Alligator mississippiensis: one gene and its partner. The protein of the gene in region 2 purifies or fractionates together with the protein of the main gene of each other region. This does not show direct contact. Links are inferred from orthologs where the notes say so. Each region holds a gene or a part of one and is shown on either strand. Other genes may lie near its edges.

Evidence for each region.
Region 1: the proteins of NADPH--cytochrome P450 reductase (region 2) and EMC4 purify together in Homo sapiens (affinity purification with mass spectrometry; 3 studies listed by BioGRID and IntAct, with this or other methods). This does not show direct contact. The link is inferred for Alligator mississippiensis from reciprocal best matches to the Homo sapiens genes POR and EMC4.

What each region holds. Positions count from the first base shown.
Region 1 is NC_081830.1:36,414,761-36,430,019, forward strand, and holds EMC4 (ER membrane protein complex subunit 4), read right to left. Parts: upstream 7,542-15,259; 5' UTR 7,327-7,541; coding exon 7,241-7,326; intron 5,696-7,240; coding exon 5,581-5,695; intron 4,596-5,580; coding exon 4,442-4,595; intron 3,819-4,441; coding exon 3,658-3,818; intron 3,536-3,657; coding exon 3,500-3,535; 3' UTR 3,350-3,499; downstream 1-3,349. Other genes in the region: SLC12A6 (solute carrier family 12 member 6), read left to right, coding at 604-711, 798-982, 1,242-1,375, 1,451-1,542. UniProt on the Homo sapiens protein: Part of the endoplasmic reticulum membrane protein complex (EMC) that enables the energy-independent insertion into endoplasmic reticulum membranes of newly synthesized membrane proteins.
Region 2 is NC_081837.1:17,422,335-17,437,973, forward strand, and holds the start of NADPH--cytochrome P450 reductase, read right to left. Parts: upstream 7,128-15,639; 5' UTR 6,891-7,127; intron 6,534-6,890; exon of another isoform or gene 6,445-6,533; intron 1-6,444. UniProt on the Homo sapiens protein: This enzyme is required for electron transfer from NADP to cytochrome P450 in microsomes. It can also provide electron transfer to heme oxygenase and cytochrome B5.

The DNA of each region.
Region 1 (15,259 bases), on a different chromosome or scaffold from region 2:
GTACTCAGAACTCCTGGATTTTTCTATCACTTAATGCCACCCCACTGCCCAAACCAGTCAAACTTCCAGCCCATCTGTGATCTATTTGTTTCTCTACTGCCTGTAATTAGAGCCAAGAGTAGCACAGAAGAGAGACGTAATGGACAGGCCACTTCCTGGCAGCTCTTTAAACAGAGTCCTACAGCGTGTGGTCCTTGTGTGGTTGCAGATGCTGCATGGTAATACAGGACATAGAGAAATGTGCACTGGAAAAGGGGGAGCTGCAGCTTGGAAACATGCAGCAGCAGTTAGGTTCTAACTGTGCATATAAGCCAGGAACGAAACAGATGGTAGCAAAACTGTTCCAACTTCAACCTTGGCTTGGAGCAGTTTTGATACCATGTTCTGCTCCTAGCTTGTATGCACACAACTGTTAGAACCTGACAGCTGCTATTCATGCCTGAGTAACAACAGTCCCCCTGCTCCTTGGAAACCATGCCAAATGCATGTTTGTCCATCTCCATAGACAGAAAAGGGCAGCTCATGGGCAGATGGCAACCCTTGACATCAGGGGCCAGGGAGAGCATGTATCTCTAGTCTCAGCTTGGTTTTTGTCCTCTACAGCATGACAGTGACATCTCTGCATATACCTATGAGCGGACTTTGATGATGGAACAGCGTTCCCAGATGCTGCGGCAAATGAGGCTCTCCAAGACAGAGCGGGATCGGGAGGTGGGTGAGCTCTGTGTGCTTAGGAGGGAAAAGGAGTATGGTGGTAAGTTACTGCTTAGGGGATACTCACTAGAGTTTTCCTGAAGGCTCAGCTGGTGAAAGATCGCAACTCCATGCTGCGCCTAACCAGTATCGGCTCTGATGAAGATGAGGAGACTGAAACCTACCAGGAGAAGGTGCACATGACCTGGACCAAGGACAAGTACATGGCATCCCGTGTCCAGAAAGCAAAGACATTAGAGGGTTTCCAGGACTTGCTCAACATGAAGCCGTAAGTACTTCCCATCATCCTTTGGGTCAGTGAAGTGGGGACATCCCAGCAAGTCCCATCAACCTGTTCAGTAAGGTCATAAGTGCCTCCTCACCCATCCACCTGTAGGGGCAGTGACCTGAAAAAGATCTTCTGCACCTTGCCTATCTCTCAAGCTGTCTTTCCCCTGCATTCCTGCTCTCTTCCTTGGGTTCACATCCCTGTAACCTCTCAGGCAGGCAAGCTGGAATTTCAGCCTCTGTATCTTCTTGGTGCACAGGGACCATTCCAATGTGCGGCGTATGCACACAGCTGTGAAGCTCAACGAAGTGATTGTGAACAAGTCGCATGATGCCAAATTGGTTCTGCTGAACATGCCTGGACCTCCACGTAACCCTGAGGGCGATGAGAATTGTATCCTTGATCATGTGAAATTAATAGTGAGAGTGGTCATTAGTTCCATGTTGCCTCCTTGACTGTTCCTCCCAGATATGGAGTTCCTGGAGGTGCTTACAGAAGGCTTGGAACGTGTGCTGCTGGTGCGTGGGGGTGGCAGTGAGGTCATCACCATTTACTCCTAGTGCCCTCCTGCATCTGGCTGGCTGCCTGCCTTCATTACACTGTAGCACATTTGACCATTCCTTTACCTGCCTGCCTCCCCCTAGGAGCCATCTTCTGCCACTGCAGCCTTCTTTTTCTGTCACAGAATGAGGCCTGCTTCTTTCTCCTTAACAGGCTACCTGGTTGTTAGCCATGGCTCAATGGAGTGTGTATGCGAAGGGTGGCTCAAAGCTGACACTTCCTTGGTCCTAACCCTGGAGCTGATACAGATCAGAATTAGCGTAGCTAGGGGCAACTGGACAGATAAATGGAGTGGGATAGTAGATGTGGTGGGGGCACACCCCACACTGAGCCATTACCTGAGCATCTAATCTGTGGTAAGAAGGGGGAGGAAGTGAAGGGACGTAACCTGAAGGGGGTGGGATGGAGGTAGAGATTGTTACACAGCAGGGCAGGGAGGGGTAGTATGGTACAGAATGAAGTAGAGGACAGATCTAAAATGGATAGGTTGCAGTGGGGGAATTCCCCCTCCCCAGGAGTCATGTGGAGCAGGTATTCTCCAATTCCACTTTCCATGCAGTGCCAAAGCTGCTTTGCTTTTCGTATTATTTAAGTAGAGAAAAAGAGTGAGTGCATGTATGGAAGAGAAGTAGGGGACTTTTCAGGCTCTTCTGGACTATCCCCCCCCCCTTTTTGTCTAGTCTGACCCAGGCCCCCATAACCTTTCTTCTCACTTAGACTGGCTTCAAAGGAATCTGGTGTTTCAGGAACTGGGGCTTTGGTGACTGTTCCATTGGTTTGCCAGAGCAGAGCACCGACAGGCACTGGCACAAAATTCCCTTTCTGCCTCCCTGTCCTAATAATCAGGGACTCCTTTGGGCCCCTTCCTTCCCAGGAGGGGCTGCCTAGGAGTGAGCACCAGCTTTATCCTATCACTGGCTGTAATTCTCTGGTGGCTGTAGTGAAAGGTCTGGCTGACCACTCAGAGTTGTTTTTGGTGTTACTATTTTAACGATCCACCAATGGCTCAAGCTCACCAATTACTTGTTCTAACCTCACAGTGATAGACCCAAGATAAATGAGGAAAGGGAGCATTATCAGTCCATGGTACCCTAGTTCACTGGTGGGGTGGGGGGATTCTTAGAAGTCTTCTTTCCCTGTTTCCCCCATAATCTGTTTATCTTAAAAACTGTTTAAACCCCCCCCCCAGCAAATGCACTGGGGGATGCCTGGCCAAGAGCAAGTGCAATCCTAAAGGGAGAGCAAGTTCCCTTTGTGTTAGTGAGCACAAGGAGATGCTTACTGTATTCCTAATCATGGCTGGCTAAAATGGTTACTAGGACCTTAAATCACCCAGGAGCCTCAAAACCAATAATAATTTAAAAAACAAACAAAAAAAAAACCCCTTCTTCCTTGCTTACTTATTTTGAAGGGATTTTTTTTTTTAGTGAGGGTGGGATTTTTAATTTATTAGGGGACAAGAGGCCCCTGTTTACATGTCACTCTTTATGTGCATTTTTTTGCTCTGTAACAGAACTGTAAAAAATAAAAAAATTTTGTACATGATTTGCAGTGTCTGGGGATGAAGTTGTGTGTTTAACAATGATATCCCCTCCCTACCACTCCAGGGAGTAGTGCTTCTCCTACTACTTCCTCATGCTGACAGCACTTTAACATAGAACTGCACAGGGCCTGGCTAACATGAGATCTAGCAGTACAGGAAAGACACTGTTGCTGACAGTACAGTGCCTGTCTCCCTGCTGGAGAGGCTGAGCTGTGGTGTACCATACCCTCTTCCTTCTCAGACAGCAGACACTGGACTTTGCCTCATATACACAGCAGCTTTATTAGTCCCTACACAGCAGAGAAAGGAAGATACCAGGGCTTGTCTTGCTTCCCCCACAGCATACTTTAGCAGTACAACATCCAGCTTGGAGTTGATGGGGGCCCAAGCCCTGGTATCCCTGGGAAGAGTAGTCACAAAAGTAGCCCACCACCTGTGTACTCCATTCGCTGCAATGAGAGAAAAGATCAAACTAGCACAACTCTATCATCCCCCCAACCTTTGTCCTCTGACTTCCCAGAGCCAAACCCTCCCCCTCTCTTTCCTCTAATGCCAGTCTATACCGACTCACCTCAGGAGGTTCAATGAAAGCCAACCAGTCAGAGGCATGGGTAGGCAGCAGCCCCATTGACTGGCACTTGTAGACAGCCAGTGCCAGTCCTAATAGGTTGCCAATCAGATAAACCAGCCCCTGTAGGAACTTCTGGCTGGAGCTTTCCAGCAGCTTGAAAGCTGAGGGAAGGAGAAAAAGATGATCAGACGTGGAGACCTCCAGATATTGGGTGTCCTTCCCACACTACAACCTCAAATATGGAAAGGTGCTAAGGCTGCAGGAGATGAGGTTGGTCCTGGAACTGGAGGAGGGTGGGAGAGGAGGGGACTAGGCAGGGGACAGGGCTGGTTGTTACTTAGCAGCAGAAATGGTCGTGGTTTGTGGATGGAGTGGGGGAGGCTGTAGAAGACTAAATATTAACAAGACTGTGGGAGATACAGTGTTGCCAACCCCACTGTATCAAAAAAATCAAAAGACAAACTCTTAAGAGATTTGGTATGTAAATTATGAGATGCTTCTTTCTAATCCTCCCTTGCACATGCACCCTGAGCAGTTCCCCTGCCCATTATGGCCTTGAGCTCAGTCCTGCTCCCCTGGCAGGACTCCCTGCACCCTTACACAGCTGGGCCCCACCCAGGCTTCCAGAGACCATGTGGCCGGTTCCAGCCTGCTTGAGGCCAGAAGAAAAAAAACTCCTAAGATTTGAGAGTTCTCGCACAAGATCATGAGTCAGACTTAATTTTACTTAGAAATCGCAACTCGCAATAATTTCATGAGAGTTGGCATTACTGGAGATACTTACTGGCAGATATAGCCATGAGGGCCTGAAGAGGGCGCCAGGCCATCATACACACCATCATGGTGGGGAAGATGGAAATAGTATTCCCAGCCATGTACATGATGAATAAGTTCATGGGGATCTGCTTCAGTGGCCCCAGGGCAATATCCCAGCAGCGCTGAGGAGAGAACATGGATAGAATCAGAAAGTGAGAGTTGGAAGGGACCTCAGGAGGTCACGTCTGGTCCAACCCCCTGCTCAAAGCAGGACCATCCCCAGCTAGATCATCCCAGCCAAAGCTTTGTCTAGCCAGATTTTAAAAACCTCCAAGGATGGAGCTTCCACCACCTCGCTGGGTAACCTGTTCCAGTGGTTTTACTATCCTCCTAGTGAGAACATTCTTCCTAATATCTAAGCTAAACGTCCCTTGCTGCAATTTGAGACCATTGCTCCTTGTTCTGTCATCTGCCACCACTGAGAACAGCCCCATCCTATTTGGAAACCCCCTTCAGGTACTTGAAGGCTGCTATTAAATCCTCTCAATCTTCTCTTTTCCAGACTGAATGAGCCCAGTTCCCTCAGTCTCTCCTCATAAGTCATGTCCCCCAGCTCCCAAAGCCATTTTGTTGCCCTCTGCTGGACTCTCTCCAGTTTGTCCACATCCTCTCTGTAGTGGGGGGACCAAAACTGAACACAGTACTCCAGATGTGGCCTCACCAGTGCTGAAGAGAAGGGAATAATCACTTCTACCAATGCAGCCCAGATTCTGTAAGCAGTTTCCCACCTTGAGATCTCTGACCCACAAGAGAAGCCAGGAGTTGTGATCCTGACCCCAGGCATCCTGGGGAAGTTCTTTGTGATGCCATGCTCAGAGCCTAGCTCTCCGGGGCCTGATGCCCTCCTAACACCTGCAAAAAGAACCCAGCTGTTCTTGGGATGCTCCCCATAGTTGCCCCCCGCCAAAAGTCCCTTGATCCCAAACACTTCCCTCCACATAAAGAGAAGATATAAGTCTTGCCTCTCTTTCCCCTACCAAGAGGACCCCAGCATCTTGCAGAGATTTCCACCCCCTACTCCAGGATTTCACTCTCAACCTTAAGCCCAGGTAGCCTGCAAACTCATCTGCCAGCATGGGATCTTGCTTCAACCCGAGCCCTTGGTACCTTCTCCACCAGGATGCGGTCAGTCTCCTGGACACTGGTGTCAGGAACCTGCTTGTCTGAGTAGCCCACAGGGTAAAGGGAGTCACCTTGGCTGCTGCCCCGGTCACTACGGCCCCTAGGAAGCAGAGAGAGAGAAAACAGATAAGCCTACAACAGTGGTTCTCAACCTTTTTTTAGACTTAAGAAATCCCTCCATAATTTCTGAATTAGTGGCACCTTATACAGATGTGGGTGGAGCAAGACCCTCCTTTTCCCCCCATGTAAGAAGGGAAATACCCCTACCTACCTCTACCTTTGCCTTAATCTTTGAAGCCCAACCCCCCCCCTGCAAAGTACAAGGGCAGGGGTGGCCCTTACTCTATATCCTGGCTGTGGTGGTGGTTTGTATCTGGGATCTGTTGACCTCCACCAGCCAAAAGAAATACATTCTGAGCACAACAAAAATGTTAGCAGGACTGGATCTTCAAACCTAAATATTTACTCACATAAATACAAACTGTAATCATGAATGTGATGGTGAAATACTGAAAGTACATAAATGACTAAACTGTACAACTAAGTCATATTAAACAAATGATTAAGGTTTTATAAAATGCATGTTCATCTAAAGAAATAACTATCTTGTTAACACTTGAGAGAATTTTAAAATGAATTTCTTTAAGTCCTAAAGTCTCAAAACGCCTCTAGAGTCCTAACGGAGATCTTCTCTTAGTTCACCTGCAGATGGGCTGTTCAAGCAAGAACAGAGATTCTGAGATGAACCCAGATTTTCCACTCTACAGCTCAGTCAAACCATGAAAAAGCTTCCTAAATAAGAGAAAGGGGGGGGGGGGGGGGGGCAGCAGTAATTTTAATTAATATAAATAATTAAAAAAAAAAAAAAACAACCAACCTTATTTAGGAAGCTTTTTCCATGGTTTAGCCAAGCTGTACAGAACAAAATCTGGTTTCATCTTATACATATAAGTGTTCCTAACTGGTGTTATGCTAATGAATATTCATACACCTATTCCTATCTGCTCTATATGATAGACAAAGCTAATTTTAGACAAGCTCTAACTCCTGAACATGCTTTAAGTGAGACCTTGAACCAAGTTGTTGGGTTTTTTTCTATTCCATCTTCCTTGAAATTTCTAAATTGGCTCAGGCCTTGGGACATCCTCTGGCCTATCCCTTCCTGTGCCACCTCCTCTCACCCAAGCTTTGGCCAAGCGGATGCAAGCAAAGGCTGCGCTGTATTACCACGCAGCAACCCGCGCCCCACCGCGCTCTGCAGCAGCAGTTCCCAGCCTGCGGTGTGCGCACCACCAGCGGTAGCGTCAGCAGATTTATTATAGTTACTTCCTATGACAGAAATTCGCTGGCGGTCCTTATCGTTTTCAATTGGTCTTGCGCAGCCGGCCACTTCGGGGGAAGGGCTGCTCTACAGCTCCCCGGGGGGCGGCAGCAGTAGCGGCTGCTTCCTGGAGCTCCCCCCGGCCTGGCCGCCAAGGCCCCAGTCCTGCCACCGCCGCTTGTGACCCCGCACGTAGCGGCCCGGCCCCGGAGCGGGGGCAGCACCCGACGCCCAGCGGAAGCCCCGCGGCGGGACGAGAGCCGCAGAGGGAGCGGAGCCGCCGCAGGGAGCGGGGCGGGCGGCCCGGGGGGTGGGGGCCCTCACCTGCTCCCGCTGCCCGGCCCGCTCAGCTCGATGGCCCACTTGAAGCGCCGGCCCCGGTTGGACACCAGCCCCCCGGGCGTCGCCATCGCGCTGCAGGGCCGGGGGCAATGGCAGGGCGCGGCCGCGCTCCGCCCGGCAACGGGGGCCCCAAGGCGCCAGGCAGCGCCGCTCCGCAAGGGACACAGGCGTCCACGGGCACCGAGCCGGGACGCGGCTCAGTCCCCTTCTACTCCCCTCAAGGGCCAGTGGGGGCCTCACTGCTCAATGGACCCGCACTGGAGAGACCAGCGCCACTTCCGGCTGGGACCAGAACCTTACTTCCGCCTTCCGGCTGCGGAAAGGCTCGGGCTGCCTGCGCCGCGCCCTAGCGGCTGGCACGCGTCTTGGTGTTGGGCGGGCGCGCGCGGGGAGGTGGGGCGGGCCGGGAGCAGGCGTGCGGGGTGGGAGCGGGGCGTACTCGGCCTGAAAAGGGCCGGGCGAGGCAGGGCTGGCGCCTACGGCCATACCACCCTGAACACGCCCGATTTTGTCTGATCTCGGAAGCTAGGCAGGGTTGGGCCCGGTTAGTACCTGGCTGGGAGACCGCCTGGGAATACCGGGTGCTGTAGACTTTTGCTGTTGCGCACAGCCTGGCCAGCCCTTCTTTCTTGGTCCCTGGCCGGGGGCCCGGGGTGCCCGGTGCCTCTGGCCTCCTGGGCTGGGCACTGCCAGGCAGGCAGGCGCGTGTGCTCTGGGCTCCCTGCCCTAGCCCTGGAGCGCCCTTGCCCGAGGCGCGTGGGCCTGTGTGGAGTGGAGCGGGCGGGGGAGCTTGAGGGAGTGCTGCGCCCCCAGCCTGTGGGGGCGGGCCTGGTGCTGGCTCTGGGCGGGCTGGGGGTGCCGAGGCGGCAGCGTGCAGGCACAAGCACATCACAATTGCCCTTTACCGTGTGGGGCCGTAGGTGCGCCTTGCTCAGGCTCCTGCGTCGCCCGATGAATTCTACGGTTCTGTATTGGACGCCTGTTTCTCCCGGTTTGCCGGGAGCAGAAGATAGGCCGCCTGGCCCGTGGTGCCCTGCATCCCCTCTGGAGCCTGTCCTTGGGTGCTGGCAGCCCACCAGGGCTCGGGGACCCGGGCGGTTTTCGGCGGGGGCTTGCATGCTGCGGTTAGGAGCGCGGCCGTTTCCGCTTGGAGCTGCTCCAGGGCCCGGGGCCGAACGCCAGCAGGTGCCGGTGGTCGGCCCCGGTGGAGTTTGTCAGTTTCCGCTCCCGCCTGAGGTGCTGCGGCCTGGGTTGGGGTCAGCCCCGCTGCCTTGTCCCTGGAGAGGAGTGGGCGTGGGGAGGGAACGCCCCTGAGATCTTGCCCGGGGCAGGCGGGCGCAAGGAATGCCTGGAGGCTCTGGGCGGCGGCCCTGGCCTCCTTGAGCGCCCCCCAGGCCGGGCTGTGGATGCGAAGGCCCCGGTGAGTCCCTGGCAGGTGTTGGGCTTGCGCTGGACTGCGAGACGTTGGGGGGAAGCTTGCGTGTAGCCAGTGCCTGGGCCCGCCGTTTCCGTGCGGGTGTTGGTGGAGCGTGGCTGGGGATTGTCTTTTCCTGGTCGCGGTTTAGGATTGGGTGCGGTGGCGGGGCAGGCTGTGTGCGGGGCCAGGAGGGGAGAGGTGGGGCCCGGGTCGGGGGTGGGGTGCTGGAGCAGGGAGGCGGGAGGCCGGCAGCAGGCTGGAGTTGGGGGAGGCGGGCCGGGGGTGGGCGGCGTGCGCCCGGGGCAAGCAGGGGCGGTGGGCCATGGGTGCACGCGGGTTGGTGTTGGGCGCACGTGTGAGGGGAGGGGCAGGCTGTGTGCGCGCGCGGGGAGGTGGGGCGGGCCGGGAGCAGGCGTGCGGGGTGGGAGCGGGGTGTACACTGGCCTGAAAAGGGCCGGGCGAGGCAGGGCTGGTGCCTATGGCTGTACCACCCTCAGCATGCCTGATCTCCAAAGGTAAACAAGGTCAGGCCCGGTTAGTACCTGGATGGGAGACTGCCCGGGAATACTGGGTGCTGTAGGCTTTTGCTGTTGTGCACAGCCTGGCCAGTCTTTTTTTTTGGTTCATGCTTGCCCAAGTGCCCCCAGTCTGCCTTGGTCATGACCATGGCACGCAACTTTCTGTCAGCAGCACGTGTGACCAGCTCGCTACTTGCCCCCTTTCCAGATCACTTTTGCCTGTGCTAAAGAGCACGGCCCTGCTCCCCCTGGGGGACCCTGCTGCTCGCTTCTTTCCATCCTGAAAAAGAACCATTTCTGCTCCTTCTTTGCTTTGGGCCCTGAAGCCAGCTTCTGAACCGCAAGTGGACATTGCCGGTGCTCCCCTGACTGCCTCGCTCAGTGATGAACCCCAAGTCAGGGACCTTATCAGAGGCTTTGTGGAAGTCCAGGCAGCCAGTGGCAAGCGGACCACCCTGATCCCCCTGCTTAATGACACCTTCCAAGCACTCCAATAGGCCGGCGAGGTGCGGTTTCCCTCGGGCAGAGCCAAATGGTTCTTTTTTGGATGATTGTTTCTCTCTGTTTGCCCAGTACTGAAGTTAAGCTGACTGTCCTGTAGTTTCCTGCATCCCCTGTGGAGCCTTTTTTAAATATGGGAATCACGTTGACGGCCCTCCAGTCCTCTGGTACCAAGGCTGTTTGTAATAATAAGTTGTATGCTAGTTAGTAGCTCAGCAATTTCCACTCTCACCTTTTTAGGGCCCTGGGGTAAATGCCATCAGGTGCTGGTGATTTGCTACTGTTTCATTTATCAATGTCCTCTACAACATAATCTATCGAAACCTCAGTTAGGGTCAGCTCCACTCCCTAGAGAGGAGTGGATCTGGTGAGGGAATCTCCCGAATATCCTCCCAGGGAAGGCAAATGCAAAGAACTCATTGAGTTTCTCAGCAATGGCCCTGTCATCCATTAGCACCGCTTTTCCACCCTGATCGCCCAGGCCACATGTACACCTGCCAGGGGTTTAGTTCTCCCTACATTGAAACAGTGGGTTTTTAATCAGTGGGCTTTTAATTGTGCCGATTAAAAACCCACCATTTCAATTTAGGGACCTCCATCATCATGGTGGAAGTACTGGCCCCATCAGCTCACGCCCCCCACTACCTCTGCCGTGGAGCAGGCAGGCTCTGCCAAAGGAAAAAGAACAAAAAAACAGTGAGGGGCCCAATCCTTTTTTTTCCTGTAGCCTGCCCACGGCTCCCGCAGTCATGGGGGTGAGCTGCCAGCAATCCCTGAGCGGCAGGGGACTCCTGTGCTTCCCTCTGTGGCAGCACCACTCCCTGTGTGGCACCGCTTGCTAGCATCCTGCCCAGGCAGTCCTGGCACCACCACCACAAAGAGAAACACCAGCCCCGAACCCCACAGCTCAGGGGCTGCACAGCCGGGTGTCAGCACACATGGGCAGGCTCCACTGGGGAAAAACAAAAAAGTGACAGGGGGCCTGATCCTTTTTGTCTCCCTGAGCCTGCCTTTGTCTCCCACAGCAGGGGGGTAAGCTGCCCGTGAGTCGTGTAGCCCCCTTGCCACTTCCTTTTTTTTTTCTCAGCAGAGCATGAGCTGCCACCCGGGCAGGGTGCTAGCTGCGCAGGTGCAGCCCCAGCTCACAGACAGCACCCACCGGATCTAATGGTACACAGGGAGCTGGAAGCTTGGGTGTGCTCAGGGAAGCTCAGGCTTGGCTTTCTCATGTCTGTGGAAGCAACGAAGGGCTGGCTGCGCTGCGTGCAACAGCAAAAGGACATGTTACCAGGATAAGCCTTCTACCTAGCAAGCAAGATTTAGCTTCCAGCATAAATGTAGCTGCGCTCCTTACCCATATCCTTGATACCCACATAGACCTTGACCCACCAGCTTCTCCCCAACCCTCCTTAGCACCTTATGTACACAGCCTGTGAGGTCCACTACCTTTGCACCCGGTAGGTAAGTCACCATGTGGTCCTCTCGGATGTCACAAACCCAGCTATCTATATGCCTGATAATCAAATCTCCCGCTACCACCACCTGCCCCTTCTGTCCTGTGGGGTTCCCTCCCTTGGAGGAGTATCCTATGTGCCAGAAGACACTGTACCATCAGCTGGAAGGTGGGTCCCATCTAAAGGATAGTTTCCCTCCGTCCCTGCTTGATGCCCTCCATCCCCATGGCTCTCAGTCCCCTCAGCAGCATGGGAGCTGCTACAATGAAGGTGGGACTGCTCTACAACACCCCTAAAAGCCTCATCTATGAACCTCGCTGCCTCCCTTAGCGGCTCCGGTTCTACCAGCCTAGCCACAAGGGGATATATTCATTCTCGCAGCACCAGGAGTTCCCTGCACCAATTGCACACATGAAACCTGTCCCTGGGGCAGGTAATCGTACATGCTGCACTCAGTGCAATAAGCTGGGGACCCCCGACCCTGTTGCTTCTGATCATGGGGGGGGCTTGAAACTGGCTTATCTTCTCTTCCACCCCACAGGTCTAGGGGTCTCCTGCGGGGGTTGGACTTTCTCAAACCGTCTTGTTTGGCTGACAGTGTGGGGAGGGGAGGGGCTGAAATCTGGCTTTTTTTCAGTCTTGGGGGCTCAAACCTGCCATTGGGAGGGGTGGGGTGCCTAGAACTGGGAGGTGAAGGGGCAGGGGTGGGGCACCAGAAAAGGAAATGGTGGCAGCCCAGTGTTCAAGAGAGGAGTGGAAGTCGAGCGGCCATCAAGGTACCTTAAGAATAGAGGACAGGTCCTCCCAAGGCTGGGGGCGCACAGCAAGCTCCCGCAGGCGGCAGGGGCATGGCAGCGGCAAGTAGGGAGCTCCCACAGGTAGCCGCAGTGGTGTCGGCAGCCAGGGCGGGCAGAGCAGGGAGCTCCCACAAGCAGCCAAGGCAGTGGCCGGGAGGGGGGGAGGGGGGGGGAGTGCTTTGCCACCAAGCACTGAAAAACAGAAGACATAAAGGCGTCCAACAGAAGACCAGAAAACTGGACTGTCCTCTATAAAACCGGATGAATGACCACCCTAAGTGGGAGGGTCAGGGATCAGAGGAGAGGGCTGGAAAGTGTGTACTGGGTGGGAAGCCTTGAAACAGACTTCTCTTGGGGAGAAGCGGCAGCCAGGCTCTTAACAGGGGACCCTGCTCTGTTACTGAGAGTGAGAAATGTGCATCTGTGCTGAGTGAGGAAGGGACACAGGTGAGTGGGAGCTGTGACCAGGCCCAGGAAGACCCAAGGTGGGAGAAGCCAGCAGAGCAGAGCAAAAGCTTAGGGAAAGCTTAGCGAAAGGCACCACAGCTGCATTTGATTGCATTTGGGTTTGGCTTTAAGTTTGCTGCTTAAGCTGGGAAGAAAGGAATGAGGCTGAAGGGTTCTTGATTCCTGGTTCCTTTTCAAAGTTACTGTTTACAAAATTAGAGGCTATTAGTGTAGCCCGGGTGTACATGGCTTTGTACTCCCCTCTCCAATTGAGGGAATTATTGGCAAGGTAGTGTGCTGCGGAGGGACACAACAGCCCAGCAGCCACCTCCATTCCCTATAGAGTCAGGCCCAGTTAATCAATTACTTAACTATATATGCATTTATTATTACAACAAAACTATTAAAGGGTAAGGACATAAATTATACACACAAACATACATACACACACACATATATATGTATATGCACACATATACATACACGCATACATATATACACATATATACATATACATATATACACACATATACACATATACACATACGCATACATATATACATATATGCACACACATATATATCTACATATATACACACACACATATATATATCTACATATATATATACACACACATTTACAAAACAATAAACCTTATATGTATAAGTACACACAACCAATTATTATTTAAAAATACAGATGAACAATAGAACAACCTAGAACAAAGGATATTGATCAGGCAACCTTATAACTATTAATATACAAGCTATTGCTTCAACTTATTCACATAAACCGTAAGGCACAGTCTACAAATATAACCAACAATCCTTAGATTATCTGGGTGTCCTCCAGGGCAGGGGCCCCACTCCCAAGGCACCATTACAGGAAAGGAGGTGGGGGGAAAGAAAAAGGAGAGGAAGACCCCAAAGACTCCTAAGCTCCCCACTATCACCCAGGAGCGGCCCCAACCCTGGGGGGTCCTTCCCCTCTTGGGACCCTCTCTCCGGGGTAACTTACTACTCCAGTCCCAGAGGGTTGCCTCCCATTCTCCAGGTCAAGCTCTGTTCATCTGACTCTGCTGCCACCAGCCTGACTTAGGGCCACATGCACCACTGCGTGTACTGGGCACTTGGCCTTGTGCTAGGGGTTGGAGGACCAGACAGCCTTGTGCAGCACCGGGCTTGGTCTGATCCCGGACCTTCTGGGCAGTGTCGTCTGCCCTGAGCTGCTGTCCCAAGCCACCTCGAGCGGCTCCCAGGGTCTCTCACCCTCTGTGCAGCGCCTCCTGCACTGAGCTCCCAGCCTCGTGCTGGGGGTTGTGGACCTGAGCTGCTCAAGGGGCTCCAAAGATCCTGCTCCATGCACCAGCCTGTGCTCCATGTCTCTGGCCACATGCCAGAGGTTGCAGACCCGAGCCGCCTAACGCAGCTCCCAGGGCCTGAACGCTGTGCACTGTGCTGTGCACCAAGAGCCTAACCGCTGGAGCCATCCATCACTCCCCACTGATAGAAGTCTTCAGGGAGCCTTCCTGGGCTACTGCTGTGCAGCTCTTCTCAGCTCTTCTAACCCCACTCTTCTCTGTCCCTGAAGCATCTCCCTCGTGCTGCCCGCACAGCTCGGTCGTCCAGACCTGACAGTTTGCAGTCTTCAATCAGGTCCAGGAGAGCTGTTCTCCCCCTCCCCTCAGGAAAGGGGTGCAACTTTATTTCTCTTGCTGCCTCCTGATGGGCTCCACCAATCAAAACAGCAGGATCTCAAGCCTGGGCCTCAACCCAAGCTCTGAAACACAAGCCTGCTAAATTAGCATGTCTAATTCATTGCTAAAGAGTCAGATTTTCATCAAAAATGTGTTTTTATGCTCATTTTTATTAGACTAATAAAACTGTAATATAATATAGCAAATATTATAATAAGGGACTGAGATTAGGCTGGGATTATGGGGCAAAATCCACAATGGGTCACCCCAAACCACACACGTCCTCCACCAGGGGACTCCCCTGGCCCTACCCAACCCAGAGCTTGGTTTTCAAGTGCCATCCTCCCACCTGTCAGCCCCCTGTGCCTGCATGTTAAGTACATGGTGTTGAATATGTGCCGACTTGGTCCATTTTCCTTATTGGCTTTTCTCATTTAATACAGAATGGTCTTCTCAGACAGAAATTTTGGCCAGCATGAGTGATTTTTGGACAAGCACTTCTCACATCTTTAAGCAATGAATATGTAATCTTATCTATCCATTTAGAGTGATTTTCTTCTACTTTGTGCAAATACAGTTTTAACATAAAATATTGATGTAACCCAGGTGGTACTCCAAGAGGTACCCCCTCTCCAATTGAAGGGATCAAAGCAGGTGCACAAGTGCTGAGCCCCGGCCTCATGACGAGCTGCCTGGCCTCTTATTAGAGGAGCTGGAAGCAGAGCTGGGAACCTCTCAGGTCGCTGCTCAGATCCTTGCTGGAGCTGGGGAGCCTCTCCTGCTGGCCGCAGCCTCTTGTAGGGGATCCTGGAGCCCAGCGGGAGCCTCTCCTGCCGGCCGCACGCCGCGCTGCTGAGGGTCCCACTGCTGCCTGCAGGTCCCACTCCTTCAGGTGCTTCCTGGGGCAACTGCTCCCACCCTGCTGGCCCAGCTCTTTGAAACTCCTTCCTTGTGGTCCCTCACTGGTCTCCCCTCACTCAGCTGTGCTGCCCCTTTTATCCCCCTCCAGGTGACCCAAGGGGCCAATCAGGGGACACAGAGGGTGAGTCTCTGGGGCCTGATTGGTGAGGAAAGGGAATCCCAAGTCCTCCAATCATCTTTTGCCCCTTCAAAACCCCTGGGCTAAATCACTGCCAGCTAGCCCATCACACTGATAATTAAGTTAAAGATA
Region 2 (15,639 bases):
TGTCCCCTTGCAGTCAGGCAGCATCCTAGCCCACCAGGGGCCCTGCTTGGGGCTGCCACGAGTGAGACACAGGGGGCACCGTATGCACATGCACAGCCACACACATGCACGTGGCCAGGAATATAGCTGGGCAGCATGGAGAACAGCTCCCTGCAGCTAAGTCTATGGAGAGGAAGGGGCATGGGGGAGGGTAAGGGTAGGGGGTGCAGATTGAGGCCCCCACAGCGAGGCTGGGAGTGGAGCCGGGGCTGGGGCCGCTGCCCAGCCAGGGTTGTGCATTGGACCCAGGGCCAGGGTGGGGAGCAGAACAGAGCCACAGGCAGCCCCCCCCACTGCACCCCCCCAGGGGAGGCATAGGGGGACATGTGCACACCCAGATTTGTGCATGAGGCAAATGTGGGCTGCTCACTGTGGGCTCGGGGCTCTCCACTCTACTTCCTTTCCCTAGGGAGTCTTACACCAACTGTGTGCCCCCTGCCCACCCAGCAGCAGTGAGGGTGGTGAGCTGTGCCCCCCACTGCTGGGCAGGCAGGGGGTGCGTGGCCAGCACAGGGCTCCCAGCGCAAAGGCAGCTGAGTGGAGAGACCCGAGCCCACAGGGACAGCCTGCATCTGCCCTCACCCCGCTCTGCTCTGCTTAAAAGTGTCCCTGCACTTAAAAATAGTGGTGATGGCACTTGAACTAAAGGTCATTTGATGAACTTTAGTTGAAGCACCCCTGCCACCCTTTTTAAGTACCAGGATGCTGATACATGTGAAGCAAAAGGCTGCTGGAGTGTGCTAAAATAAGTTTATTTATGTCAGTACTTTAAAATGCCTTGCAATTTAAAGTAAATTGGTTATTATGTTGGCATCAGCTGATATGATTAGTTAATAATAGGCTATTGGTATCAGCTAAGAAAACCTTTATCAGTGCATCCCTAACTCTACATACCAGTTACTAGGGGTGCACTGAAATATTGGTTGGCTATCACACCAGCACTGATAAAAAGAGAAGTTATAGGCTATAGGCTTTTTTTGGTCATTTTAGCCAGTAATTACGACCATGTGCCCAGAGCATCCTGATGACTGTAGACCAGTCCCCACACCCTGCCACCAGTCCAGGTCTGTGGCAGACTACAGGTCCCAGCAAGCAGCAGGAGGCAGAGGGGATGCTGGGAAGCGGTCACAAGGTCCCCACACTTAGCAACAAAGGCACCATTACTGGCTCTCCTCCTGCTGCTGCCACTGCCATGGCAACACCACCTGCTCAGGGACCTGAGCGCTGGGGCTGCTGCTGGGCTGCAAGCGGGCAGGGTAGGGTGTCGTGAGAGGGACATTCTACTCCACCAGGCACTCCATGTCTTTGTAAAAATGGCTCCCCCCCCCCAGCGGCCATGGGAGCTCGGCTATGTGGGGCCTGCTGGTGTGGAGGCAGTGCCATTCTCTGGGGCTCCAAACACACCTGGTGCCACTGTCTGCACGAGGGTCCATCCCACCTGCTAGCACAGGCTGAACAGGGAGCAGGGCTGTGGGTAGCTGTGGGCAAGGGGGATGACCTATGTGGGAATAAGGTAGTCACCACCTTCCTCATCAAGGGCCTGAGCAGGTAGGAGGTGTGTGCATGTGCATGTGTTATAAATACAAAACAAATACACAAAAAGTTCATTTATGTCAGTAGTTTAAAATGCCATGCACTCTTACTAAATATCAGTTAATCACTGGCTATCACTATCAGTATCATCCAAGAAAATCTTTATCGGTACACCCCTAGTAGTTACTATACGAGAAAATAAAAAAGGCTATGACTTCCCTGATGTCACACAGTGATTCAGTGCAGAGTCCAAAATGGAACCCAGATTTTCTGACTCTTGATGGCATGCTTTAAATACAGGCACGCTATTCAAAATGTGCATCATCACCCCATCCAGGATGACAGCTGTTTAAGGATAATAGGCCTGAGGTTAATTTTTACTTTAAAAAGAGAGCCCACTGGGGAAATGGTGACAACTGATGCCCCCCCACCATTACTGACATATCGGATTTAACGAGCACAAAAGTGGAAGTCTAGTATATTCTTCATTTTCTTTTCATAGATTTAAAAAGGGTGCTTTTTCTCTTGGTCTTAACAAGAATTGCATATTTTTTGCTTCATCATGCTGTTACAAATAGATCATTCTGGTGTTACACAATCATGTCTTGTGCAATCTATCAGGGACTCTATCAGCCTCATACTGTAGTGACTGTACAGATGTAAAATAAGCTCTAGTAATGCTCCAAAAGAAGTAAAGCTCACCAGCTGCAGTTCAAAAATGACTGTTTGGCTACTAACAGTGGTAAGAAGTAGAAGCCAGAACTCATGGTTCTCATTTTCAGCTCTACCAATTCCTTTCAAGTCAAGCATGTTACCAGATTTTCAAAAGGATGACAATCAGGCCCTGTTGTGGGAGTTAACAAGGCAGAAAATCTGATATCACATCCATTCAATTCCAGTCCTGCTGTCTGTAGAACAGGGATGATAGACCATGGCTAGACTGCAATCCTGCTGAGCCCAGGACTGCCACCAAGAAAACAAGCCCCACACACTTGCTCCCAAACCCTGCAATTAGGTGGTGGAGGAAGGTTGTACGGGCCCAGGCTCTCCTAGGAAAGATCACTTGAGAAAGAAGGGGTCTTGGTGTACAATCCTGCACCTAAGGTACCCACCTGCCAGATGGGCATGTGTTAAGTGGGAGGGAGCAGAAAGGGCTTAGTTGCTTTGGCAATACTCCAGGACTCAAGAGGAAGGCAGAGCAGACCTACCACAGTTACTTGACTCACAACAGGTGTAGAGGCTTACCTATTTGAAAAAAAGTGATTTGAAATTCAGACGGCAGGTATCACATGGAAATGCAAAAATCAGCTTAGTCTTACTTGTAACACCTCCACATTCTATTTAAAGACACCCCCCACCCTGAGCTGCTAACTAATCAATAATATTAAAATGATATGCAGCTAGGAGTCAGATGAATACCATTTTGGACCATCAGGATTCTTAAAGCAGCTTCCAGGGCTACAAGGGACTTCCCTGTTTGATCTTTGCAGGTTCTGTAACCCAGGTTACAGATGTTATAATGTTTAATTTGGTAAAAGGCAGCCACAAATTATGATATTTCAAGCAATTCAAGTAGCATGTAATATAGTAGCTAGTACACAGAAACATTCTTTAATTACTGATCAGTGATGAAAAGCACACTATTGCCAGGGCTGTAGGACATGATTCACCTTTTACATTATCATGTGCAGAGTAATATAACCATTTAGTCAAATCAAGTCATCCTATTGGGAAAGCAACTCCTGTAAGAATTTTCTAGAGTTGAGTTAAGAAAATAGAACAAAGTTCATCCCAGGCAGATAACTCATAGCAGTGGGGTGTGGGTTTTTTTTGTTTGTTTATTTATTGTTTTAATATATGAGAAAAAGAAAGAACAGGACAGCTTAAGACCTGAGCAAGGTAACTAATACCCCCTCCCCAGATCACAGCAATACATAGCTTTTGATGTGCAGCTGCAATCAGAAGAGATAAAGTCCTATTTCATAAAATTCTAGTTATTCTGTCTGTGCCTTCTGTATCAAATGCGCTTACTCTGTTTGTCTGAAGTTTGAAGGCCGCTGTTCATTTGTACTCCCGTAAGTTTAAAAAAAAATAAAATAAAAGGTGTTTCTGGCTTTGCAAACACTATTGAGTTCCTGTGATCATTTCAGTGATCATTTTCACAGTCACAATATTCTTGTGTGCTAAATTTTCATTCAAAGATTTCCACATAGAAGAGAAATGGATCAAGTGATTAAACAAGGACACCGTGATACTGCCTATAGAGTAACCCAGATTAATTGGTAAACCAAGTTCAATTAAGTACAATTGAAGAGCTTAAAGGATTTAAAAATACCCTATGATTTTAAACTTCTCCATAATTCTGTTTTGAAATTACGTCTAAGATTATTATAGCTGAATGATTAGACAAAAGTACTCTCTCTCAGTGCACTGGTTCTCTGAGTGTATCCATTTTCTCCTTCCCATCTTTCCCCGTTTTTAAGCTTTCCCTTCAAGGACTCCTGCCTTGCAAATATTCATCTGAGGGACTGAAGGAAAAATGAAACAGTTACTGTAAGCACCACCGGGGAACTATAATTCTTGCTATGACCTTTGGGGCAGCCCTGTAGGAACTGAACAAAAAACTGCCTCCAACAAAATGCTATGGGATTTGTTCCCTTCAAGTGTGGTCCTAGGAGGTTTCCAGGTAAGCTTCAGAGGCGGTAACAGACTGGTATGAAGGAGGTGGTTCTGGCAAATCAGTAGGGGGTGCTCTTCCCTTGAGACTTGTAGGATGTGCTAAGTAAAGACCCAGCCCAGCTCCTAGCAGAAATTACTGGGTAGGATCAACATGCACTGGTAAAAGCTGCTCCTCCAGTTTACCCCAGGCCATGGCTGCAGATGGAGCAATTTCCAGTACAGGTTTCCCTCTATCTATGCTGTACATGCGTTCCCAGAGAACGGCACATAAATCAAATTCGCATAAAGCAAACATACTTTGCAATGTAACAAATAGGAATATGTTCCTATGGCGGTGAGGGAGGGAGGCTGGGACTAGGGAAGGGGCAGGGGTGCTGCTCCCAGGGCTGCACAACACAGCAAAACAGAGGGAACAGAACGGCCCCAGGAACAGCCAGGAGCAGCAGCACTAGCTGTTAGGCTGCACCATGCTCCACCTGTCCCCACTCACCTCTGCTCCTGCACTATGCAGTACCCTGGTGCAGGCAGCTGGTGTTGGCTGTTCCCAAGGCCACTGCAGCCGGGGCTGGGGTGAGTGGGGACACGGCCCTTTCCCCTCCCCCCGCAGACTTACCTGCTTGGGCGGGGGGGAGGAGGGGGGGCACGCATGTTTACTGATTGCGTAAGAGCAAATTTACCTCACATATAATAAACTATGGGTTTAAATATGCTCATTGCATAAGAGCAAGTTTGCATATAAAGAACCCACATAAAATCGAGGGAAACCTGTGCATCTAGAGCACCTAGGAACTAGAAGCTCCACACAAAAGTAAAGATTCACATTCAGAAATGGGAAACATTTTAGTAACAAAACTGACCAAATCTCAGTTCCTTCTGGCGTTAGACCTGCAAATCAACTGTCAAACAAAGACTGATTAGAAACCAAAGCTGAACGTGCAGGAGAATTTCCACGATACAATCGTCCAGTTTTAGTCGGATTAGATGGGAGCTTCCTCTTCACTACATTTGTTCCTCTGAATTTCTTTAAAAGGCTTTTCCACTGCCTAATTTCAACCCCAATATTTTTTTTTAAAGAATGGCTACACCAAACAATATCTGCCCCAAACCTATTTTCAGTGCACATACCAGAGTGCTTCCGCCCATGCATAAGAAACCTAATAAACAGGGATCCTGATTTTCTACAATTTAAAAAAAAAACCCTAATTTTCAGTTAAGAAAAAAAACAAACAACCCCAAATCCATATTTTTCCACAAGAAAAATATGGATTTGGGGTTACTTTTATTTATTTTTAACCAAAAATTGGATATTTTTTTTAATCAGAGAAAACCAGGATCCCTGTTTACCAGGTTCCTTATGAATGGGAGGAAGCACCCTGGTATGTGCACTGAAAATAGGTTTGGGGCAAATGTTATTTGGTGTAAGCATTCAAGTCTACTCTACCAATTAAACCTGGATGCTGCAATCACAAAAGCACTGTACTGTTGGGTATTAAACATCAAAAGTTAGAGCAGGTTGGAGGAGTGGAAGTTTTCACCAGTTCCTTCAGCAAAATTATTCCACAAAGTCACAACTTCACTGTCAGGAGCTATCCCAGCTGTTCAACCCTTCCTACTCTTTAGTTTCACTCCAGCTATAAGAGATGTAGAAACCAGGATCTACACAAACAGGCCGACGGACTTGGTTTGTTTAGTCTAGAAAGGAGACTGGGAAGATTATAAGAGTTTCCCATGTGCCGAAGGCTGTTACAAGGAGAAGGGTGATCAGTTGTTCTCCTTTTCCACCAGCGGGATGAGGCCAAACCGTCTCAAGGGCACCAGAGACCAGCCTGGCTGGTCAAGAAACGACGAGACACAAAAGCTTCTGGGCGCGGAGCAGCGCAGGCCGCCGCGGGAGCCCCTTCCTTGGCAGCTTTTCAGAGCAGGTCGGACAATGCGGCGGGACGGCCCGGCGCAGGGTTCTCCGCGGGGCCGCAGCGCGGGGAAGTGGCCGCCGCCGCTTGGGCCCGGCCCGGCCCGCGCTGCTCCTCGCCGAAAGGAGCGGGCGAGGCCGAGCGCGACGGTTGCCGGCGGCCCCCTCCCCGGCGGAAACTGAACCCCGGCCCCGCCACACCGAGCCCAGGCGTCGCGGCGCCCCCGCGAGACACCCCACGCGGACCCGGTTCCCCCGCCCGCCCCACGCGGCGCCGCACGCACCTCCCCGCACCCGGCGGCGACTCCCAGGCCCGGCGCGGCCGGCACTTCCGGCGGCACAGACCACTCCCGGGACGGGGGGGGGGGCCGGTTCTGCCGCCTCCTGCGCAGTCGCGGCAGCTCCCTCCAGCCAATAGCGGAGCCGCCCGCGGAATGCTCACCCCCCTCCCTCCCACGGCCTTGGTACGGCCCGGTGCCGGCAGCAGCCTGGGCTGGTCGCGGAGCTGCGCCGGGAGGGCTGGGGGTCGCCCCCGCTTCCCCGCCCGCGGCTCGGGCTGCGACGTGGAACCCGGCGGGGCTGCCCGGCTGTCGCGGCCTCGCTCCCGCTCCCCAGTGCGGAGCTGCCCGCTCGGCCCTTCAGGCCGGTGACACTAGCTCGACCTGCCCCAACCGGGACGGCTCCGGGCCGGGCCACGTGTGGAGCAGACGCTCGTGAGAGCCGCGCTGACCTTCTCAGGGTGCCAGAGGTTCTTCCAGATGTGATCAGCTGTGGCTCTGTTCTTGTCCTTTGATTGCCTTTACCATCCAGGTAGTGTTATAGTGAGGTAGCGGAGCCGGTGCGCTCCGGGTTGCTCAGCCCCGAGGTGTCTGTAGTGTGGTCAAGTGAGAGCGGTGCCTGTTTCCACGGAATGAAAGTCTCCTCCTCCTGCACTGACTTGCCCTCCTGTTTCCTTTTATCTACAGAGCCAAGCCTGCCTAGTTCAAGCAGGGGTAGAAATCATCTGTGGAAGTGGGCGGGAAGAGAGGGAGGAGTTCTGCTCAGCTGCACTATCTGGATTCATCCTTGTAAGGGGTCATTTGGCAGAGCAGTCAGGAACATGATAACACTTCTGTTGTTCGAAAGTGTCCCTGAGATGTGCCACGCTCTCCTGGCCCAGGGTAGGATAGAAATAAGCATGTTCCTACAGCAGGATACGAGGTTCCTTTCCTTTCCGTGCTGGCAGCTACTTACACAATTAACTGTTTTCCTGCTGTCCCTCTCGTGTCTTTGCTGTGCAGCCATCCTTCAACCCTGCTTAGTTGAAATCAGTGGAGCATCAGGGTGCTCTTGGAGAGATTTAACAGTCCAGAAGGGCTGTTATCCTTCAGGAATCCAGGGGTCATGCTAAAGGCATCTGGATGGGATCAAAGTAGGATGCAGAGCTGTGCCTTTTTCTGCCTGAATTAAATTCAGGTTCAGTCTGCATTACAAATGCTTTGCCATGACAGCAATAGTAGTGGAGCTATACTGGTAAAGGCCCTCACCAGGAGACTGGAGCTCAGTCTGTTTAGTGTGGTGGCAAAGCTATGTCAACTAGGTGTTAAACAAATAACCACCCCCGCTGATACGACTGTAGGCAGGCCCCTTGTCTGGGGACAGCTAGGCTGACAGAAGGGGCCTTCTGCTAGCTCAGCTTCTGCCTTTTGAGGGTGTGATCTGGCTAATAAAAAACCCCTCTGTTGCCATATGTTGCATCTCCACAAGGGGGTCCTGCCGCTATTCCCAACTCCTGCACAGCTATGGCTGCAGCAGCAGCAGCCCGATAATGGAGAGAGGCTCTCAGCTTATACCAGCAACAGACAGTCTTGCTCATTAAGTTAACCCACTGCCTGAGATGACATAGACCAGCAAAAGGACGCTCATAATGGGGGTAAGGGGCTCCTGGTACATTTACATTGGCTAGGGGTGTCATGTTCATGCTTTTAACCACCATTATTTTGCTAGTAGGATTTCATAGTGTGGACCTGTACCAAGATGCACTGTGCTGTACCTGGACAAAGTGTTATGCAGAAGCTGTTCTTTTGCCTGCCTCCGTGCCAGTCTTCCTTTTGTCATGGTATCAGCAGAAATAAGAAACATTTTCTCGTAGACACATAGGATTACCTGAATATCCATTGAGACCCTGATTCTGCCGCTGCACCTTTTCCTGGGATGCCTTGCTCGGAGGATATTATGGAGCAAAGGTGCCCAATCTATCCCTTAAGATACCATGTCAACAATAACATGGAATGTCAACAGTTTTGAGTCACGAGTTACAAATATGTAGGTAGGTGTTATTATTGTATGTACAGTGAATTCATGTGGGCAATCAGTAGCAGCTGTATAATTAATCTGTGTGTGTGCATATAGTTACATGGGTTTACATCAGTGCCCTGGAATGTGCATTTGTTCCAGGAATGTACAGCACCTTGTGCGGGAGGGTCCTGGTCAACAATAATTCACATTTAAATAATATTATTTTTTCATAAGCAAAACTATAAGGTATATTTTTCAATTAGACTGATTTTGCTGCTTGGATTTTCTTTTTAATCTTCAGCTGTGAAAGGCAACCAGGTCATAAGCTGGCTCCTGACTACTAACACTTCACCATGCTGACGTTTAAAATAAGCTGTTACTAGACATCTCATCCCTTTTGATCCTTTCCCTTCTACTTTAGTCTCTTACTTCACTAATGAAAGAGAACTAAGATACTGCAGATTAGCTTTCATTTGTCATGATATAAAGCATACACACTGGATACATGAAGACCCACTCACTTTTTCCTAGCAAAAACTTGCATGCCTGCAGTCCTTCCCATCAGCCAATATTTCTTATCTTCTTGAGAAAATTGATCAAGATAGTTATTTTCTTATGTGGACATTATTCTAGAATAAAGAGTTTTCCCCTGAAAAATAATTAGTGCTGTTCTGTAATCATAGGAAATATGGCTGGAAAGGGTCATCTAGTCCAGCCCTCTGCTCAAGGCCTGCCTGATTAAGCCAAGTGTCTTTCTAACCTGCTCTTGAAAACTTCCAAGAATGTAGATTCCACAGCTTCTTTAGGCTCCTCGACCACCCTCAGTTAGGAAGTTCCTCCTAATCTCCAATCTAAATTTTCCCCGTTGCAGCTTGAGGGGTAACATCCCCTATAGCCACAGAGGCAAAGCCTATTTCCTTCCTTTCTATAATCACCCTGCAGGTATTTGAAGACTGTTGTCAAATCCGCCCCCCCCACCGGTCTTCTTTTCTCCAAACTAAAATAACCCTCGTTTTCAGCCTTTCCTCATGGGTCTCATATCACAGGCCCCTGATCATTTTTGTCACTCTGGACACTGGACTCTTTCCAATTGGTCCAAATCCTTCTTGAAGCGTGGGTCCTAAACCTGGACAAAAAACTCCATGTGAGGCCTCACCAGTGCTGAATAGAGGAGAAGAATCGCTTCCCTTGATTTGCAAGTCACTCCTGTTAATATAATCCAGGATGTTGTTTGCTCCTCTCCCCCACTGCCCAACAAGAGCACACTGCTGGCTTGTGTTCAGCCTATGGCCCACCATAACCTCCAAGTCCTACTCTGCAGTACTGCAGCCTAGCTACTCATTCCTCAGTCTGTATTTATGCCTGTGGGTATTCTATCGCAAGTGCAGGCCTTTGCACTTGTTCTTGCTGAATCTCATCTGATTGATTCCAGACCAACCTGATTCAATCCAGGTTATTTTAGATCTCCTAGCCCTAACTTCCAGAGCATCCTCAATTCCACCCAACATGGTGTCGTCCACAAATTTGACAAGCAAGCACTCGATCCTATCTTCCAAAACTATGATGAAAATGTTAAACAATACCAGACCCAAGACAGAGCTCTGATGAGTCCCACTTGATACTTCCTCCCAGCTAGACATCAGGCCATTGAGGACTACTCGCTGAGTATGATGATTCAACCAGGTTTTTTTAATCTACTTTACAATACCTTCAGCTAGTCTGTATTTCCTTAGGTTGTTAATATGAATGTTGTAGGACAGTGTCAAAAGCCTTGCTGGTGTCAATGTATATCATATCCACTGCTCTTCCCCCATTCACAGGGCCTGTCACCTTATCATAGAAGGAAATCAGGTTGGTCAGGCACGACTTGCTATTTGTGAATCCATGCTGTCTGTTTGAAATCACCTTGTTCTCCTCTAAGTGTTTCACAATGCATTCCTTGAGACCCAATCCATGCTGGCTGTCAGTGAACTCCCATGGTTGAGGCTGATCAGTCCCACAGATCAACTAAAGGGTTGTAAATGAGTCATTTATGACTAACAAGGCCCATCCTAGAGCCACATACTCTCTGTCAAATGCTACAGGTGGTTAAAGGAAGGGGTCAGAGCATTTCTTGTTCTTGTTTCCTTTCCTTTCATTTATGTCATTTTTCTGTCTCCAGGGTGAGACAGTTTTCCTCAAAGTAAGATGTACCTTCTCTCACAAGGCATTGCCATGTAGCCCTGTCCAAGCTAATTTTTCCCCAATTTGTGGTGTGTCTGCCACACTTAATGCTCACCTTGAGGGTGTCCTTGAAGCATTTCCTCTGGCCCCCATGTGTCCTTCGTTCTTAGCCGAGTTGGGAGTATAGCAGTTATTTTGGTAAATGTACATCAGGCATGCACACACAGTGCCCTATCCACTGCAGTTGATGTTGAGTAATCAGTGCTTCCCTAATGGTGGTGCTAACAGGGCCAGATTAACGCATAGGCAAACTAGGCACATGGCTAGGGCCCTGAGCTGTGGGGACCCCAGGTCCTTTCCTCCATGGTGGTGGTGTGAATGGCTTCATCCACCTCCCTTCCCTTCCCTTCCCTTCCCTTCCCTTCCCTTCCCTTCCCTTCCCTTCCATTGGCCTTGGTGCCGCTGCCACCACTGTCCCCTAATAGCAGCAGTGGCAGCACTGGGGTGGGGAGGGAGGTCTTGACCAGCCCAGGGCCCACAAGTTTGCTTGCCAAGGGCCCACTAAAGGGTTAATCCAGCCCTGGGTGCTAGTGTCAGTGAGGACACTGGCATTTATGTGATGATCCTCCCTCTCTATGCCAAGGATCTTCCAGAGGTAGCGCTGGTGATGGTATTCCAGACTGTTCAGGTGGTCCCTGTAGATCATCCAAACTTCACAACTATAGAGAAGAGTTAGGATTGCCACAACCTTATATGGTAGGAGCTTTGTTTGAGTCCTGATGTCATGTCCAGTCTTCTGAAGGCAGAGCTGTCACATCAGATCCTACGCTGGAGTTCCTCGTTGATGTTAGCCTTCTTTGAGAGAGAGCTGCCAAAGATCCTCCCTGGTATTGAGGTCAGGCTGATTGATCTGTAGTTCCCTGCATCCTCCTTCTTCCCTTTCTTTAAATTTGTCCTTTGCCAACCATTTGGAACCTCACTCGACTTCCATGAGTTGTCAAAAAAGATTGCCAGTAGCTCTAAAATTACCTCAGCCAATTCTTTCAGTACCCTCAAGTGCATCCCATCAGGTCTTGCCAACTTGAAAGCAGCTAGCTTCTCTAAGTAATCCTGAACCTGTTCTGCCATTACTCTAAACTGCTTGTCTCCTTCCCTATCTCTGCTGGGAATTGCACTTGTCAGATGGTAGCTGCCCCTTTTCATAAAAACTGAGCTAAAGACATTAAATACTTCAGCCTTCTCTCCATCATCTGTAACTAGATTGTTTTCCACATTCCATAACGGACCTATGGTTTCTTTCATCTTCCTCTCATTTTTGATGCACCTGATGAATCCCATTATATTGCCTTATGTCCATTGCCATCTGCGTCTCAAGTTGTGCCTTTACCTCCCTGATTTTCTTCCTACATGCCCGTGAAATATGCCTATACTCTCCCCTAGTACCAGGACCAAGTTTCCACTTTTTATAGCATTCCTTTTTTAGTTTCAGTTCCTTGAAAGGATTGTCCTGCCTGGCTAGTCTCCTGTTGCACTACAGTCATCTCTCCTGGACTCCTTTTTCCCCTCGAACTTGCCTCCCAAGGGACCCACAAGATCCCTGAGGTTGTTAAAGTCCGCTTTTCTGAAATCTAGTGCCCTTATTCTGCTGCTCTCCTTTCTCCCTCCACTTAGCATCTTGAACTCTTATTATTTCATGGTCACTGGCACTCAACTTACCTCCCACCTGCGCATTCTCAACCATTTCCTCCTTGTTTGTGAGCAATAGGCCAAGAAGAGCTCCCTCTTCATTTGCCTTTCTACCGTCTGAACCGAAAAGGTATCACTGTTACAGGGTACCACTGGCATGTGACCCAGGGTTCCATCCCCAGTTGGCTTCACACTCTCCACTCCCTCTCACTTGCCTGCTTCACCTTATTGGTGAATAATCTGGGGAGGTTCTCTCATCCCAAATGGAGGGGGAATCCAGAGCCATTCATTACTGGCTCATCTTTATCCACATCACTGATACTAGTAGTGTCCAGGCCCCTTCCAGGGGCCTCTGCCTTGCTGCTTGCAAGGTTCCTCCTTGTCCTTACTAACAGTCCTACTTGTGACCCTGCTGGGTCTTGAGCCCAGAGCCCTCAGCTCCACCGGCCTGTCGGCTCTCAGCCGCTGGTGCCCTGGAAGGTCCCAGATCTTGAAACAGGCACTCCCAACCAACTGAGGTTGAATTACAGAAGAGTCCTTTGTTTCGCCTCTCTGCTGTGCAGCCTTCATATCACCCCTTATAACCACATCCATTCCACCAGTTGTAATAAAGAGATTTCTTCCTTTTTATGAACCATCCTGCCCCTGGGCTGCCAAACAAAGTCCCCAGACATAAACTTCACCCCACCAAGCCCAAAAGAGAACAAAACAAAAAAAACAACAACACACTACTCACTATTACTGCAATCTATACATCATGAGGGCCACCCCCTGGGGCCCCAACTCACCATCTTCTGGGACATTTCATCACATCACTCAACCAATCCCTTTCTTTCCCAGCCCTGCCAGCAGCCAGGGATCCACTTCTATGACCCTGGGCCCCTCCCCCTTTTCTGGTCACTTGACCCTGTCTGCTCAGGCCCACATAGCATCCTGCCCTCAGGAGGTTCAGGTCTGCAGCTTGCCCTCAGCTGCAGCTTTTCACTCCTGGCTCTAAAAGTCCTTGCTTTAAAAGGACCTAGCCCTGTGGTCCAGTTCCCTGTCTTCTCCCCAGTAGCAGGGGTGAAACCCCTTGTTTAGTCAGTCCCCAACACTCTCCAGGAATTTCCTGGACTGCTTGTGCACTGCTGTGTTTACCTTCCAGCAGATGTCCCAATAATTAAAGCCCTCTGATAACTAAGTCTTGCAATTTGTAAGCTTCCATCAGTTGTTTAAAAAAGGCCTCATCTACCTTCTCCTCTTGGGTTGGAGGTCTGTAGCAGATCTCCACCATAACATCCCTTCTGCTGCTCTCCCCTCTGACCTTTACCTAGAAGCTTTCAACAGGCCGCCTTCCCCTTCGGACCTCACCTCTGAACATATGTACATCACCTTTATATATAGGGTAATACCTCCTTCTCTCATCTGACTTCTCTCTTGCTTGTACTTAGGCAAACCAACGAGCAGGGGTGTCTGAATGGGAGTTCTGCTTGGGAGAGGAAGCTGTAGCCAGAGCAGTGTTCTCAGAGGTGCTCACTATGTTTACTATGGCTGCTATGGAAGCGCTTGTTAGTTCAGTCAATTCCCCTATGCAAGCTAAGCCTTTATTTGCAGTCCAGTAATACATGCATACTGCTAGGCCTCCTTAAAGATTTTGTGGATGTAGTGAGCCCTTGCATATGCTACAGAAAGTTTCCTAGGATAACTGTGCCAGGAGAGTATTTATAGTCTGGTATAGGTGGAACCCTCTGAAGGATGAAGATGGCAGAAGCAGCTGAGCATGAAGGCAACAAAAGTAACTTGTTTCATGGATACAAATGGTCCTTAAGTTAATCATAAGTTAACGAGCCAATAAAGTGACACATTTATCCCCAAAGCAATTGTTGTATGGTTCCCTCATGGCATGGCACATATGAGAAGCAGTATTATACACATAGATGCCAGTGTCTCTGGATGTTACTGCCATATATATATGTGTGAAATTCCTTACAAAGAATATTAAGGTAACAAAATCAAGCACTCCACATTTAGGAAAGGCCAGAGTTAAGGTAGACACCTTTCGTTTGGCCTCCTTGTGCATGCATCTGCAATATGACACAATCCTTAATGACATCACAGGCTATTTTTTTTATAGGGATTAGCTCCACCTATAATAACAATAAAAATAATATTCATAGTTTGGCAACTGTTGATCCTTCCGGGTCATGGTGTATTCATGAGAGATCACCCAGACCTTCATTGCATATGCCAAGACAGGAGTTTGGAGCCTGTCCAGACCTTCCATTCTGAGACAGAATCCAAAGGCCAGATTGAGTCCTGACATTTGGTGACTCCATGGCTGTAATTGTATTAGTATCCAGAAATCAAACTCAGGTTTCCTGCGTAACAGACAGGATTCTACCACTGAACCACAGGGGACTCTAATCATCATCATTATCATCTTTGAAACAGCAATCTGCTGGAGCTATGTACAAATATTAGAGGTGCACGAATACATTGGCCCCATATCAGATCGGCACCGATATAGGGAAAATTGAAAGTATCAGAAATCAGCTTTTTTTGCCTGATGCAGCCAATAATCTGGAGAATAAATGCCCTGTGTGTGCGCACAGCCACAGCATGCATGGGGCCAGGAGCACAGCCCGGCAGCTTGTAGACCAGCATCTGGCTGGTAAGTCTGATATGGGGGAAGGGGTGGGGGGAGGGAGGGAGTGGGGCTGGGGCAGGCGCTGCTCAGCCAGGGTGAGCACAGGACAGAGCTGTGAGCGGCTCATCCAGGGGGCATAGGGTGGGAGACTGGCTCCCACTGCTGCATGCACCCCAGGAAGGCATGGAAGGTGTGTGTGGTGGGCCAGTAGGGGGTGCTTCTGCACTGAGCCACCCACATCACTGTGCCCGACCACCTGCAAGGCTCCAAGTGCCTCCCTGAGGGCGCCTCATGTCCAGCTGACCCCCTTCCTGGAGTACACCTGCAAGCCTGGAGGTAACACTGCCACCACTCACGAGTCTCAGTGTGTTAGTGGCCCTGTGCCTCATGAGGTACACAGGCCTTATAGACCTGAAGGGTACTAGACCCACTGCAAGAACTTGGAATGCTTCCTTTAGTCTGAAGCACAAATAGTGGTCTCCCTTAGTCAGCGAGACCAAGGGGACCCTAAGGCATAATCTAAACCCTCTCCTAATACATTTTTCACACTAGATACAGAGGATAACTTTATTGATTACAAGGAGTAGGTATGGAATAGGGTACAGGGTAGAGCAATATCAAAGGATAACCCTTAGAGCAAACAGTGGCATGGTAGCCTTTGATCACGCATCTGAGTTACTTCAGGCTATATATCTAGTTAGATTTCAAGTAGCTTATTCACAAGTAT